Tamandua tetradactyla: one gene and its partners. The protein of the gene in region 3 purifies or fractionates together with the protein of the main gene of each other region. This does not show direct contact. Links are inferred from orthologs where the notes say so. Each region holds a gene or a part of one and is shown on either strand. Other genes may lie near its edges.

Region 1 (5,043 bases), on a different chromosome or scaffold from region 3:
AGGGATGTTTGGCTGGACTTGGGGGAAGGGGTTTGGTGTCAAATGTTTAAACTAGCTTTATTACTTGGCCATCAATACACTAATTTTGTTCTTCCTTCAAGCATCTACTGAGCACCTACCTACCATTTACCAGATTTCTCCCATCCATTTTCTTATTACATCTTTACAACCACTTCACTTTGGACAAATAAAATATTACTAATCCCTTGCTACCACACTTACTTTTAAGCAGAGCCGATTAAAGGTTTGTATGTTATCCCAGAAATAGTGGTGGAGGAGCGGTAGTGGCCTGCTTTCTGAGTACTGCTATCCTGTGTGAGACCCTCAGTCACTAGAGCGATCCAGTTTCTAAACCCTGTCTATTTCTCCCTCTCTTAATAACCAGGTTTCTGCTAATGCCCGGAGGAAAAGATGATGAAAATGTGGCTCTGAACTAAGTCCCGGGCACAAGACAAGCAAGTGAATAATAGGATACAAAGTGACAAGGCTGTAACATGGGCTACCTGAGCACTAAGCCCAACTCCCCTTGGAGAGGTGGGTAAATGTATCACAGAGAAGGCAGGGACATTTGAACCCGGCATTTAAGAATAAGGAGGGATTCTCTAAATGGAGCAATTATTTGGAAAGAAGTACCATGAGTTTCCCTGTGCACCACGCTCTACGCTGGGGTCATTTCCTTAAGACATCTCTAAGGCTGATAACGTTAATCTAGGGTATCTGAGATGATTCTCGCCCCTATTTTACTAGAAAGAAACCGAGGGTCATAGAGGAAAAGGTTGTGCTAGGCTGGCCTACACCAAGAGGGGAAGAGCCAGGCCTTGAGGGACTTGGAGTAGCCACAGGCAAGTTACGAGGTTAGACGGCCTCCTACCAGGAGGGTCCTTCAGCTCCGCACGTGCTCTGGCCCGGAAGTGCGGAGTGGGCGACCGGGAGGCCTTCCCATCACCACCCGCGGACCGGGGAAAGGTAAGGAGAGAATAGTTACCACGCCATCCTGGAGCCTTCCTTCTGATTGGCCCAAGCTTCTGCAGCCGAAGTCCCTCGCTTCCAATGAAGGGGGCGGAGCCTCGATATGGCGTCACCACTCCTCTCCCACAGCCCGCCCGGTGCATCCCAACCTAGCCATTCACCAGCCCACTTCGAGGGGCCTGTGTGACGCCACGACTCTCTCCCAGCCAATCGCGGCGGAGAGGGGGCGGGACCCCATGCCTCTCCCACTTCTCTACTCCTTCTCCTCTCCCGAACTCTTCATGCCCCTCCTTTTCCCCCTTCGCCACGCCTTCAAAAGAACGCCATCACGTTCGGTTTCAAAAGACGCGTTGCCCAATGAATAACACGGCAGGCCCAGAGCGGCGGCCTCGTCTGCCAATGCGCAGAGAGCGAGGGCGGACCGCTCGGAGCGAGCCTCTGACGGAGGACGGCGTGTGACGCAGTTGGGCCCTCTGCGCGCTGCGCCCGAAGCGGCTGTCGGTAGCGGTGGTAGCGGCGGCGACGGTTTCGTGTCGGCCGCGCGCTGCTCCTTGAGCGGCGGGTGGCGGAGGGCCCGGGCCCTCACTCCGGACACCTCCTTTCCCTCACCGTACCGTGGTAAGTCGAGAGCTGGGGCGGCGGCGGCCGGGAACCGGCAGGCTCCTCCTCCCTTCAGGGCGGGTGCGCGGGGAGTCCCAGGCCCTCTCTGCGCCGGAGTCTCGCGCTCTGGCGCGCACCTTCTGCCCCGAGGGAGGGGGCGGAGCCCGCGATCCTGCGATCCTGCGATCCTGCGGTCAGAGTCCAGACTCTTCAGGGCTGGGAGGGAATGGCTGTCTGCGGGGTTTGGGCCGGGGAATCTCCAGTTGTTGCCCACGCTGAGGGGGCGTCCATCTAACTGGTTATATTCATTCATTCGCTCCGCAGCGAATAGTCGCCTGCGGTGGGCCGACCCCTTGCGGGGGCAGCACCTTAATATCCTGAATAGGGTCTCTTCAACACTCCGTTGGCGGTCGTAGGCGGTGGGCTTTATATGCCTTGGCTTCTCCACCACGGAAGTGGCAGCCCGAGGGGCGGGTTGAGAGTTTGTTAGATTTTAAAATGGTGTTTGGCAATTGGGTCGGTTCAGTGAAGTTAAATGATATTTTCTTTTCTCCCACGTGTTCTGGGCAAAACCAGAAGAGAAGAAAGATTGTGTTTCTGGATTACCGTAGTCGTAAGGGTCTTAGAAATTATTTAAGCCACTCCATCACACGGAAGTTTTATAGATAGAGAAGCCGAGATCAGATCTCCTGACTCAAATCTCGAAATTTTTCTGCTGCACCACCCTCCCTAATTTATCCAGTCGCCCATTACTGAGGGTTCCCTTTTGGGAGGGGGCGTTCGGTAGTTAGAAATACACGTAGTCTTTAGTAGTGTTTCGTATTAAGTTACTACTATCTCTGTTGATGGTAAGACGGACACTTCATTAGTGATATACCTTAATCTAGACCACAAGAACTAGAAAGTTGGTAAAAGAATGTCAGTGATGTTTTGTATTGGAAATGAATCGATACAACTATAAACCCTTTGCGAGTTTCCCGTTCTAATTCTGACGTTTTCACTTGTATCAACGGCTGTGGGCGCTAAAGGTTCTATTAGTGACTTATGACAAAAAGGAAATGTAGACAAGACGTAGAAAACTAGTCAGCAAGCGCTTGTATTTCATATATCTTGGAATTCATAACTCCTCTTTGGGACAGAACGCAAAGTAAAGTTTGTAAAGTAGGGTAAGGTGATCAAATTAAACCACGATTTGGAAGAAGAAACTAACTGCAAGAAAGAAAGAAAAGAGCAGTGGTCATTTCTGTGGCAATCTTTTAATTCAGAAAGAAACGCTTATTAACAGAGTGACAGATGATGTGATTACTCAGTGAAAGAAGATAGGACACTTAAAAAAAAGCCAGTAGCTGGATAGGATGAAGGTACTGGTACTTAAAAACTTTTTTTTTTCCCCTGACTTCTCGTTTTAAATTTGATGACATTGGGTTAGTTTTGCCACTTAGTTCTATTCACATTAGTCAAATGGACATTTTGGTCTTGTTTAGATAACGAAGCAAAAAAATACTGAAGACTACTAGTGTATAAGAGCAGAAGAGAACTGGAGTATGAAAACTGAGATATGAACAGTGTATGTTTTCTCTGATAGTTTCTCAGTTCAAGCATCACCCTTTTCTGGGAAGCCTTCCCTGGCATTCTCTACCTCTTAAACTTCCATAACACTTATTTGATACTTCTATTTATAGCATATGTCATTTTATATTTTAGCTGTTTGTGTTTTTAATAGACTGTAGTAACATATTTTTGTCTTATCTTTGCATTCAGGTTGCCTGGCACAGAGTAGGCCCTCAATTAAGTGTTTACTTTAATGAGTAAACAAACATGGAGGAGTTAAACCTAAAAATAGTCATAAAAGAGTCAGAATATTTGTGTGTTCCTGAAATGTAGGGTCCAGAGAAGACCTCTACAATTTATATTATATGTAGTACTTTGGTACCTAACTTTATTCACATCCACTAACTTGTAAGAGTAGTAGGATTTTTAGGATATCAGGCTCACAGCTTGTTAAAATTTGGTTATTTTATTATTTATATTATTTTATCTATTATTTTTGTTGTGACAGTTAACCTAGGAAGTAAGGGATAGTAGTTTTTATGTTTAATTTTCAATGAAGAGCACATCTGTAATTATGCAATTTGTTGAAATGTTAGAGGGCTAAGAAATTTAGAGATTTATTATTAAGTATTAGAGGCAGGGCATGTATATGAGAATTTGCTCTATCTTTTGCATTTATTTCTTGAGAATTTGTTGCGTCTTTTGCGTTTCAAATTGAACCTTATGTATTTAGCACAATATGTCTCAAAATATATTTCTAGGCACTATTGACATTTTGGGTCAGATAATTCTTTTTTGTGGAAGGGCTGTTTTGTGCATTGCAGGCTTTTTAACAGCATTCTTGACTGCTGCTCACTAGATGCTGGTAGCACTCTCCCACCACCCTCCAAATTCTAACAATGTCTTCAGACACTATCAGATGTCCCCTGGGAGGCAAAATAATCCCTGATTTTGAGACCACTGTTCTAGAGAAAACATTTCCAGTATTTCATTAGAATCATGTTTTTATCTTGCTTGGAGTTTGCTTATATAGTCAATTGGTTGTATTTTGTTAAAATTATCCTTGAAAAACTCTTAAATTCCTGAGATCTGATACTTGGGAAGCTGAAAAACTTAAGAAACCAAATAGTATCTATTTCTGTCTCCACTTCCCCCACCAGAAGAGGCAAAAGATCTTGTAGTTGAACTGATGTAAGTAAATGTGATGCTCTGTGATTTAATAAATATTGAGAATTCACCTTATTAAAGAGTTTGTACAAAATCCACTGGAATGGGAAATCATTGTAATTTTTAAACTGGGGGAATACAAGTAATTTCCTAAAGTGTGGCTCTAATTGCATAAGTCTGAAACAAAGAGTGAGTTTAAACTAGGCTTGGGTAGAACCGAAGATGTGAAACTGTAAGCAGGCCAGATGAATTGGGAAGCCATAGAAATAGTCTATCTAGGACAGCAGTTCTCAAACTTTTTGGTCTCTGCATTCCTTTATACTATAAAAAATTGAGGATTCCAATAGCTTTTGTTTATGTAGGTTATGTCTATTGATAATTACTGTATTAGAAATTAAAATTGAGAAAAATTTTAAAGATTTATTAATTTAAAAAATAATAAACTCAGGCGGGCCACGGTGGCTCAGCAGGCAAGAATGCTCGCCTGCCATGCCAGAGGATCCAGGTTCGATTCCCGGTGCCTGCCCATGTAAAAAAATAATAATAATAATAATAATAATAAACTCATGCTAACATTTTTATTAAAAAATTAAAATTAGTGAGAACGGTGGCATTGTTTTACACTTTTTGCAAATCTCTTTAATGTCTGACTTAAACAGAACACAGCTGGCTTTTCAGATCTTTGGCATTCTGACTGTTGTGTTGTTTTGGCTGAAGTATACACGAAGATAGGGCTTTATACAGATCCGTAGTTGG
Region 2 (5,043 bases), on a different chromosome or scaffold from region 3:
ACAGAAACAAGTAAACAGAGTCTTCAAATTGTTACGTTACCATGCTGGAGTAGAATAATAATAAGGGGGTTTCTAGGGACAGTTTCACTCGAAATGGAGGGGGGATCCTCGAAAGACACCTGCTTACACTTGAGCGGCACACCACCAGAAAATGAAAGACAACCCGATGAAAAGGGAACAAAAAAACGAGTCTAGACCCCAGCTAAGGGTCATTTCCAAGACCAATTAGCCATACCTGATACTCGGAGAGGGAGGGTTCCTCACCGCTGCCACTGAGGCTGCGAAGGCGAATGACTAAGAAGGAGCTGCCTTCCCCGTCCCACAGGAAGAGCTCTCCACCGAGGCCGAAGAGTAGGTTTCTCGTCAACAACGGTTGACGATACACTGTAAATGGTTTCCTACTCACATCCAGCTCCCAACCCTGACTGAGATCTTTTTAAAAAGGTCTCCAGATTTATTTGCCCATGCCTACTGAATCAAAATTTCCAGGGCAGGAGCCTGGAAATATACATATAGGTTTCTTTAAGTTTCATTAAGTGATTATGATACAATGATGCAGGAGGTCTATAGTCTTGTATTTAGGAAGCACTGATAACCTAACATTAAAGGTAGAAGGATCTAGGTTAATAGCAGTTGAATCCTGACTGGGGGCTGGAGGTAGGGGTGTAGAGGACTTGGGAAATAGGTACAGAAGAGACACTAGGATTTCTTGGTCTTGTAACCAGAAACTCCTAATAACCCCCTCCCTGCACACACATATCCCAACCTGACCTGAGCGAAGGCCTCTGGACATGTGTCCACTGACTGTAAAGCATTCCACTCCTCTTCCATCACTTCTTGCACTAGAAGGGTGTTCTGAGCTCTCCTTGGCACACTGCCGCCAGCCTGACGATACTTGTTCAGGAGTCTGTCCCGGCTGTTTTTCATTCTCTCCAGGCATCCCTTGGAAGCAGCAGCAAGATGGGGGCAATTCCATTAACAAAACAAAACAAAGCAAAACCTCTTAGATTAGTTGTCAAAACATCAAGGGAAATTTATAGATTATACAAAATTTCAGCTATAATCCTAACTTTTAAATTTTTTATGTTCCTCTCCTATTTTCCTCCAGTCCTTGTCCACCTGTAGATAGGCAAAATTACATCAAGGTTTTGCTCAGGTATTACCAGATCTCCATACGTCACATTCTATCTTTAATGCAGGCTTCCTTAAGGATTGGGTGCATAGTATTTCAACATCCCCTGTCCTATTACCGGATATTTAGGTTGCTACCGAATTCTTGCCAACCCAGATATGGCTGTGGTAACTGCCTACCTGTGCAACAGCGTTTCTCAACTCAGGGTCAATTTTGTCCCCAGTGAACATTTAGCAATGTCTATAGATAATTTCTATAGAAGGCTATTGGACATCTAGTGGGAAGACGTTAGGGATGCTGCTAAACATTCTACAATACATAGACCCCTCCACAGCAAAGATTTATTACCCTCAAAATGTCAACGGTTATGAAACTGCTATACAGTCACTGCAGTAGTAGTTTACTTTCCTGGGATAAATCACCTACTTCAGGGATTCCTGGAGAGATAGGAGATGTTATTTTCTGGGAACCATGCTGAGCTCAGAATAGATCAGAACTGAGGTGGGATACAACTCTGCTACTTAGTATCTGAAACTCTTCTGAGCCTCGGTTTACCCCTCTCTAAAACAGAAATAATCTTGTCCTCACACGAAGTACCTATACAGAATGCCTCTCTCGGTGCCCGGCGCAGAGCAGGTGCTCAGATATGTTTTTACTATTATTAATATAGTAGGGGAGCAAGGGGCGCGGCCATTACCACACCTCGAATTTAAAACAAGCCCAAATCCAAAAACTAGGCTTTGTGAGGGAGAGGGACCCAGGCTAAACCCGGGGGGCAGAAACTCCGGAGAGGCAGCTGGGAGGTGACCAGGAACCGCCACGGGCCAAGCGTTCCGGGAACCTGCCTCAGAGTAGGGCTGAGGCGAAGGCTCGGAGACCGGATCCCAAGAGGGATTAGGGGAGTGACTACATGCCACGTAGGCCTTCCAAACTCCATATTCACCTGCCTAAATGCCTCCTTCCAAGGCGGCGAGCTCGTCTGTTTGTATAGCGAGCGGTGCCGATATCCTGACGACTCTGCCATGTCCTTTTCGCGGGAGTCGCAGCCAGAAGGCCCCACCCCACTGAAGCGCGCAGGATGCTGGGAGTTGTAGTCTCTTGTGCTATCACACGCCCATGGAAGGCAGGGAATTCTGGGAAGTGTAAATCTCAACGACCGACTTCACATGGCGACAGATATGGGCACCCAAATATGAGAGATTGTTTAGTGACATTTGTAGGAAAAATCCAACCTAGATTGAGCGACAGTGAGGCAAGAAGTAAGCGACAAAGAGGGGAGGTTTTTGATGTCTGGGTTTACCCTGGCGGAGGTGTCCAGTAGATAATTAGATACACAGGTTTCAGGATCTCCCCCAGCTAATGAGACTGTAGCTGCACCAATGCTTTCTCTTAACCCGCTCTAGCCTGTTGGCCTTCTCGTCCCGCCCTCTTCCCTTCAGAATAAGTACTTGACTGGTGATTGGCTTTCCTCTGGCGATGTCCCGGCCTGATGGGTTGGCCTTACCTTTGTTCCGCCCCCAGCCGTAAGCCTCGTGCTTCCGGTTCATCCTCTCGGTGATTGGCCGAAGTTGTGTATGGCTGGCCGCGGATTGGCTGCACTCAGCGGCGGGCTGAGCAACTGGAGCAAGGAGAGTAGTTGAGCCAAGATGGCGGCTGCTGAGGATTCGGTAGGCGACAGTGAGCTCTGGCAGACCTGGCTCCCTAACCACGTCGTGTTTTTGCGGCTCCAGGAGGGACTGAAGAACCAGAACCCAACCGAAGCTGAGAAACCTACGTCTTTATCTTTGTCTGCGCCGCCCCTGCCATCACCACCGTTGTTGACGAGAAACCTACTCTTCGGCCTCGGTGGAGAGCTCTTCCTGTGGGACGGGGAAGGCAGCTCCTTCTTAGTCATTCGCCTTCGCAGCCTCAGTGGCAGCGGTGAGGAACCCTCCCTCTCCGAGTATCAGGTATGGCTAATTGGTCTTGGAAATGACCCTTAGCTGGGGTCTAGACTCGTTTTTTTGTTCCCTTTTCATCGGGTTGTCTTTCATTTTCTGGTGGTGTGCCGCTCAAGTGTAAGCAGGTGTCTTTCGAGGATCCCCCCTCCATTTCGAGTGAAACTGTCCCTAGAAACCCCCTTATTATTATTCTACTCCAGCATGGTAACGTAACAATTTGAAGACTCTGTTTACTTGTTTCATTCCTTTGACAAATGTTTGACTCCAACACTGTGCCAGGCACTTTAACAAAAACGTAACAGAAACAAAACATATCAAGTACTTGCTCTTATTTTGTGTGTTCTGGGAGTCTGGAAGGAAGAGAAAAACCGTGAAATAATTAACGAAATATCAGTATGGTTAAGTATTTTGAAGAAAAGCCGCAGGAAAAAGGGAGATACAGACTGTACTATTTTTGGTAGGTTGGTCAAAGGAAACCTATTTCATAATGTGACATTAATGCAGTAGGGGTAATCATAACTTTCTCTTGGGGTTGTTGTGAGCATCGCATCAAGTTATAGATTTGAAAGCACCACACTTGGTGCCTGACATGGAGGAGGAATCTTTTGATAATTTCTTCTTTCCCCTTTTGGAAAATTAGGCTATCCCCAAACTGGAAGAGAGTCTTTTAAAAATTTAATTTTGAAATAATTTCAAACTTAAGGACAGTTGCGGAAATAATACGAAACCCATACGGAGAACTCCAGCATACTCACCCATTCAGATACCCAAATCCACCAGTTGTTAATATTTTGCCACATTTCCGTGACATTCTCTCTTTCCAGATACCTCTCCAGGCAGCCATCTATCTTCTAAGCATTTGAGAGTAGGTTGTATATATCATGCCCCTTGAACACTTAGTACTTCCCTGTACATTTCGTAAGAGCGAGAATATTCAACTTGTGTAACCACTGAAAAATATAATAAAAAATAGCTCCTAGGTTTTCTCAGAAACAACACAAAAGTTGTTCAGAATTGCATAAGAAGCATCCTCTTCCAAAAGTCCCTACCAAGATACTCCACCCCAAAAGCCACCTAAGCCCCTAGTTAAGCACGCCTCACCCAATTAAAGCCCTGCTTAAGGTTGATCTATCCCTACAGCACTACAAACAGTTCCCTACTCCAATCACAAAACCTGGTATACTTCCTTCTTTCTGTTTAGCAAAGCCCACAAATACCCCAGCGTCAAAACTGCTTTTGCATTGCAGGTTAAATGTTTCCTTGATGCTATAGCAATCTTGTTATCCTAAATAAAATGCTGTAAACTGCAGTTCTCTCTGATTTGTCTTTTGACTCTACCTTAAACACAGTGATCAAGTTCAAGAAATTTAGCTCATAGTCTGTATGCTGGTTTTTTGAAATATGTCCCAGTAATGTCCTTTTAGGCATTTTGTCCTCCATTGTTTTTTTTCCAGTCCAGGATTGTGTATTGCATTTAAATGTCATTGTCTCTTTAGTCTCTCTTTTTTTAAATTATGGAAAACATTTACAACAGAAGTTTTCTCATTTTCAACCACTCCCAAGGATACAATTCAAAGTGATTAATTAAATTCACAAATGTTGTACTATCCTCATTACCGTCCTTTACCAAAACTTTCCCATCATCCCCAGTCAGAAACTGTATACCTATTGTGCATTAACTCTCCACCCCACCTCTGATAACATGTACTCTACTTTCTGTCTCTATGAATTTGCATATTCTAGCTGTTACATATGACTGAAATCTTACAAATGTCCTTTTGTGTCTGGCTTATTTCACTCAACACGATGTCTTCAAGCTTTCATTCCTTTTTAAGGCTCTGTGATATTCTATTAGATGTATGTACCACATTTGTTTATCCATCTATAGACATTTGAGTTGCTTCTACCTTTTTGCTTTTATGAATAATGTTGCCATGAACATGAGTGTTCAAATATCTATTGAATTCCTGC
Region 3 (5,043 bases):
AGTGCCTGGCACATTGTAGGTACTCAATAAATATTTACTGAATGAATGAGTGAATGAATGAATGAGTTCTTCCTTCCCCTTTGTCCCCCACCTCCCCATCTCACCCTACCTCCACTCTTCATCTATCCTTACCTGTCAGGGGCTCTCCCCCCCCTGGAATCCCGCCCTCCAGGGCTCCCCCAAGGACCTCATAGGGGCCCAGGGGGGCAGGGGCCAGGGGGAGTTTCCCATAGTCTACGAGCCAGCCCAGCCCGCTAGCTGGGAGCAGGGCCCTGTCCAGCTCCAGACCCAGGGTCGCCAGGAGTGACATGGCTGCAGCACAGGCGCCGGGCACCAATGGCAAGGGAGGTTGCAGCACCAACTGCTGGGAGGAGGCTCAAGAGGATGCTCGGATGGGCGGAGACAGGCAGCAAGGCCAAAGTAGAGGATCTGCAGGTGGGAAGCAAAAGGGGTGGGGTCAGAGGCCAGCTCCACCCACTGGGCAAAGGCACAGGACCGCCCCTAAGCTACACCCCCATTGCCACGGAGACCCTCCTCTCAGAATTCCAAACCTGCTCTTTTTTCCCAACAATCTTAGAGCCCCACCTACTCCCAAGGGAATTGTCCTTGGGCCCAGCCTACTTTTCTCCCAAGCTCCACCCCTTCTTCTAATAGAGAATGTAGTGTCCTCCCAGCGGAATTTCCTTACACCTTTCCCATTCACCCCATGATACTCCTCTTTAATAAAAAAAAAAAAAAATCCAATCCCAGGGGAATTTCCTTCCAGCCACACCCTGTCCCTAAATTATTTCCTTTAGATCCCACCCCCTCTCGAAATCCATTCCTTCTAAAATCAGTTCCCAGGGGAATTCTCCCATGCTTTGCCTCTTCATCAGTGTTCTCCACTGAATTATCACCGTCATTACTTTAAACTGTGCGGTGACTCCCACGATGCCCCCAAAGTCCTGCTCCTCTCCATCTACTTTAGTTCCACCCCTCCCTGACAATTCTCTGTGGATCCCGCCTCATCTCACAATAGGCTTCACAAGCCCCGCCCCTCGCTACTGCTGTGGCCCTAGCCCCACCCCCTCTCCTAGAGGGTGGCCTCTAAACCCCGCCCCCACACCGTCAATCTATGCCAGGCCCAGCAGGTGCTTGGAGAGGGAAGCTGGGCAGTGCGCCCGCGCAAGGTGGAAGGGACACGTTGAAGGAGGGAGCAGAGAACGGCTCCCTACCCCATACCCCTCCGCACGCGCCTGCCTCCTCGAGAGCTAAAGCGCGTGATCGCTCCCTCAAGCCTCCGCCCTACGCGAATACTGGCTCTGGTGGGCATGAGCGGCCGCGCACGGACAGGATCGTTTCCGAAAAAAATAAAACCCACCCTTTCTGAGGGCTAGTGCGCAGGCGCCTCGGCCCACGGGCCAGACTCAGGCACAAACACCCTCGCGGGAAGGGCCCTTCCCCACCCCGGACCGAGTGCGCATGCTCGGCCGCGCGCCGCCGACCGCGGCCTCTCCCTCCTGCGCCTGCGCGACCTAGAGTCCACGCTCCCGGCTCCCCACCCCCCGGCCCCGGTGAGAAGGCCGCGCGCTGTGAAAGGGCGGGAAGGGCGGTTGGAGAGGGAGGGGCGAGCGGTTACTCACTCCATGGCGGCGGCAAGGAGAGGCGGCGGTAGCCTCGGCTGAAGAAAGAAGCGGGAGCGGAAGGCGCAGGCGCGGTGAGCGCGGAGATGACCGGGGGGCAGGGAGGATTCGCGGCTACAGGGCCATGGCCGGGACTGCGCGGGTGGTGGCGTCGCGCTGGCGTGAAGGGAGACCGTGATCCGAGGATAGGGAATGAGGCGGCCCCGGGGACCCGGGACAGATATAGCGGGGGTGGCGCAGCACGGCTCTGCCGGATCCTTCCGCGCTCCGCCCCTGCGGGCCCCGACGGGCCCTGGCAGGGAGGCGGGCCCGGCCCCCTCGTCTCTGTGACCCGGAGTTTGGGCCCTTTTCTCCTCTCACTCTGGGGCCCAGTCTTCTCCCTGACTCGGGTGCCTGGCGCCCTCCTCTCACTAACCCTGCGGTGCTGTGGTCCTCTCTTCCGTCTGACCCGGGATTCCGACCCCTTCCCTCCTCTGACTCTAGGGATTCTGACCCGGGAGCACAGACCCCTTTCTCCTCCTTCCTTTGACCCCAGGGTCTGGGGCCCGACCCCATCCCCCTCAGCTTCCCTCAGGCCTTCACGTGTCTCTCGCCTTCCCCTGCTTCACGAAAGAACTTCCGGCCAGCCGCACCGGAGTCTCTGCCCGTGCCTCCGTGAGGATCCTTGTGGGTTACTTCTGCGGGACCCCGGGGTCAGACGGTGCTCTTTTCGAATCACCTGCCTGGTGATCTTGAGCAAATAAGGTCTGTGGACCTCTTGTCGCTATCTATAAAATGAGAATTATACCCTCTATTTGGTGGGGTTGTTTGAGAATTAAAATGACAGTGTCCATGAAGCACAGCCCAGCTTGTACTCATCTGGTAACCCTGTCTTCTTATTAATAGGAACGTTGGGACTCAGTATCACGTTGTCTTCCCCTCCTGGCAGAGCCCCAGATACTTGACCAAGATTTGCTGGTAGGTTCCTCTTATGTAATTTCCAGCTATCACCACCCTCCCCCATTCCAAAGGGTGGGTGTTCAGCCCACCCCCGTGCAGGGATTTTGGCATTGTTACCCCCACTTCATCCTTTTTCCACCCTCTGTTCACCTCTGCCCACCTGCCAACATCCACAGTCCCTCAGTCCTTGTCCTCTATACTCTGACTCCACCGCGTGTGTTATTCTCTGCTTCTGCCTCTCACCCAAACTTTGTTTCAAATTGTCCTTTGCCTAAGCTGCCACTCACTGTGTGAGGAACTCAACCCTGCCAAAAAATGGGGAGATTTATGATTCCATTTAGTGAAAGAAAGCAGCCTCCTAACTATTCTTCCCCCACCCCCATACATTGGACCCTCCACCAGCCCTGGTTGGATGTAGATCTTTCCTCTGCTGCAGAAACCCTCTTTCCCACCTTGCATCCATCCACATCAGAATGTTTCACTTGGAGTTCAGCCCTCATCCCTTCTATTTGTGGGTACATGGGTTAGGAATCGAACCAGGTCTTCTGCATGGCAGGCAAACAGACATTCTACCACTGAACCACACCTGCACCCCCAACCCTCATCCCACCTGGGACAGTGAAGACACTGAATCGAGGCCCAAAAAATGTGTGGGAACTTTGATTTTGAGAGTGTCTGGGAGTTAAGAAATCCCCTCTCTTCCTTCATTGTTACATGTGGGAAGTCCTTCTTGGATCTGACCCCTTACCCTCTTGGTGTCCATCCACTGGGCCAGTACTGAGCACTTGCCCCATAGCTGGGCCCTTTGGAGCTACATTATGACCTAGACAGGGTACGGTAGTGGTTATCAGCACAGGCTCTGACACCAGGTGATCTGGGTGCACAGCTGGCTGTGCTCCACTCACTAGCTGTGTGACCTGGGCAGTTACACTTATTTCCCTGTGCCTCTGTTTACTCTGTGCCCAGTAATAGTACCCATCTCTTAGGGCTGTCATGAGGATTAAGTAAGTTAGTCCATGTCAAACATTTGGACTTGTGCCTGGCTGCTGGTTGGCACTGTTAGGGGTGGTGGTTAGGATTGTTGAAGCTCCAGTTGCAGGAGTTAAAGTTTCAAAACTAGCCCTTCACCAGTTTCTGGAGGCTTAAGGACAAACTTCCACTTCTCACTATAACTCAGTGACAGCAGGTGGTAGGGGTTAATGCTAGACAGTTGGACTCACTGCGGTCAGTGAGGAGGTGCCGCCCAGACCACCAGATTGATGAGGCTGCCACCCTTACTGGGAAACCTGCTGCTGCTGGCAGGATCTGGCTCCTAGACACTAGTTTCACTCTTCTCCTGCCATCTGGCCCCTTCCCTAGCAGAATCTGTTTCCTCCCTCTGTCCCTTTCCTACAGTAACCTCCCAGAATTGTCTTCTGAGTAGGGTCATAGATTATTTTTTAGATAAACTTTTTACTTTAGAATAATTTTAAGATTTACAGAAAAATTGCAAAGATAGAAAATGTTCTCATGTACTCTTGAACAGTCCTGGCCTTTGGGTATTTTAGGGAATGTCCCTCAGTATGAGTTTGTCTCATGGTTAAACTGACATTGTGGGGTTTTGAGCAGGTGGCCAGGGAGGGTATCTTTACTAACTGAAAAGAAACTAGCTCGGTTTGGGAATCATATTGCTGATTGTATGTGATGTACTGTCTGAAAAGTCATCTTCTTGGTCCTAGCCCCCATGCCCTTTTCACTCTGGCTGTTGGAGCCTACCTAATTCAGCCCTGGCACAGACTGGCCCACCTAGGCAGCATCACTGGGTTTTGCCAAGTGGGTGCTGGGTGCTCTGGGCTGCCCAGGCCTGCCAATAGATTCTAGTTCACAGGCAGTCATCTGCAGCTGGCACCCTGTGCCTTGTCCCATATCCATGCCTGACCCAGGTTCTGGCCTCTCCAGGACTCAAATGCCTCAGCCTCCCCCAGTCTCCCACAGCCTTTCAGGGTGCAGGTGCCCCAGCTCCTTCAACTCCTGAGATTGGAGTTGGAAGCATGGGTGGGGCTGCTGAGGACTCTTTTTCGGTGCGGAGGGGCCAGGCTGGGGAAGTGAGACGGCGATTGCAGGCGGGTTGCATCAGCCCTTGCTCTTTGATGGGGAGGGGGAAAGGGGGGATCCCCTGGGGGCCTGGCGCACCTGGCAACGGCTCCTTTTTAGCAGAGCCCTGTATCATGGAGGGCTCTGGCCCTGCACGGGTGGAGGGTGTGGAGGGAGGGAAATCAGCTGTCTGGGCAGAACTTTGAGAATCTGAGGCCCAGTGCCAAGAAGGGGCCTCAAGGGCAGAGCCCAATCCACTTGTCTTGGGGAGCCAAGACTGAGGCCACAAGAGGCAGAGGAGGTTGTGCAAAATTGCACTGCTCTTCAGAGCGCGAACTTACACAACACTTCCCTGCAGCACCAGCCCTGGGAACCCCATTCCTTGGTCCATGGTGTAGCCTCTTGGGGC

Evidence for each region.
Region 1: the proteins of NUP62 (region 3) and NUP98 purify together in Homo sapiens (affinity purification with western blotting; 3 studies listed by BioGRID and IntAct, with this or other methods). This does not show direct contact. The link is inferred for Tamandua tetradactyla from reciprocal best matches to the Homo sapiens genes NUP62 and NUP98.
Region 2: the proteins of NUP62 (region 3) and NUP88 purify together in Homo sapiens (co-immunoprecipitation; 4 studies listed by BioGRID and IntAct, counting the BioPlex papers as one, with this or other methods). This does not show direct contact. The link is inferred for Tamandua tetradactyla from reciprocal best matches to the Homo sapiens genes NUP62 and NUP88.

The regions. Positions count from the first base shown.
Region 1 is NC_135334.1:74,755,657-74,760,699, reverse strand, and holds the start of NUP98 (nuclear pore complex protein Nup98-Nup96), read left to right. Parts: upstream 1-1,422; 5' UTR 1,423-1,587; exon of another isoform or gene 1,588-1,668; intron 1,669-5,043. UniProt on the Homo sapiens protein: Plays a role in the nuclear pore complex (NPC) assembly and/or maintenance. NUP98 and NUP96 are involved in the bidirectional transport across the NPC. May anchor NUP153 and TPR to the NPC.
Region 2 is NC_135332.1:59,946,732-59,951,774, forward strand, and holds the start of NUP88 (nuclear pore complex protein Nup88), read left to right. Parts: upstream 1-2,258; 5' UTR 2,259-2,778; coding exon 2,779-3,081; exon of another isoform or gene 3,082-3,244; intron 3,245-5,043. Other genes in the region: RPAIN (RPA-interacting protein), read right to left, coding at 772-942, 2,076-2,156. UniProt on the Homo sapiens protein: Component of nuclear pore complex.
Region 3 is NC_135342.1:11,238,011-11,243,053, forward strand, and holds the start of NUP62 (nuclear pore glycoprotein p62), read left to right. Parts: upstream 1-1,594; 5' UTR 1,595-1,696; exon of another isoform or gene 1,697-1,883; intron 1,884-2,507; exon of another isoform or gene 2,508-2,579; intron 2,580-5,043. Other genes in the region: ATF5 (cyclic AMP-dependent transcription factor ATF-5), read right to left, coding at 133-310. UniProt on the Homo sapiens protein: Essential component of the nuclear pore complex. The N-terminal is probably involved in nucleocytoplasmic transport.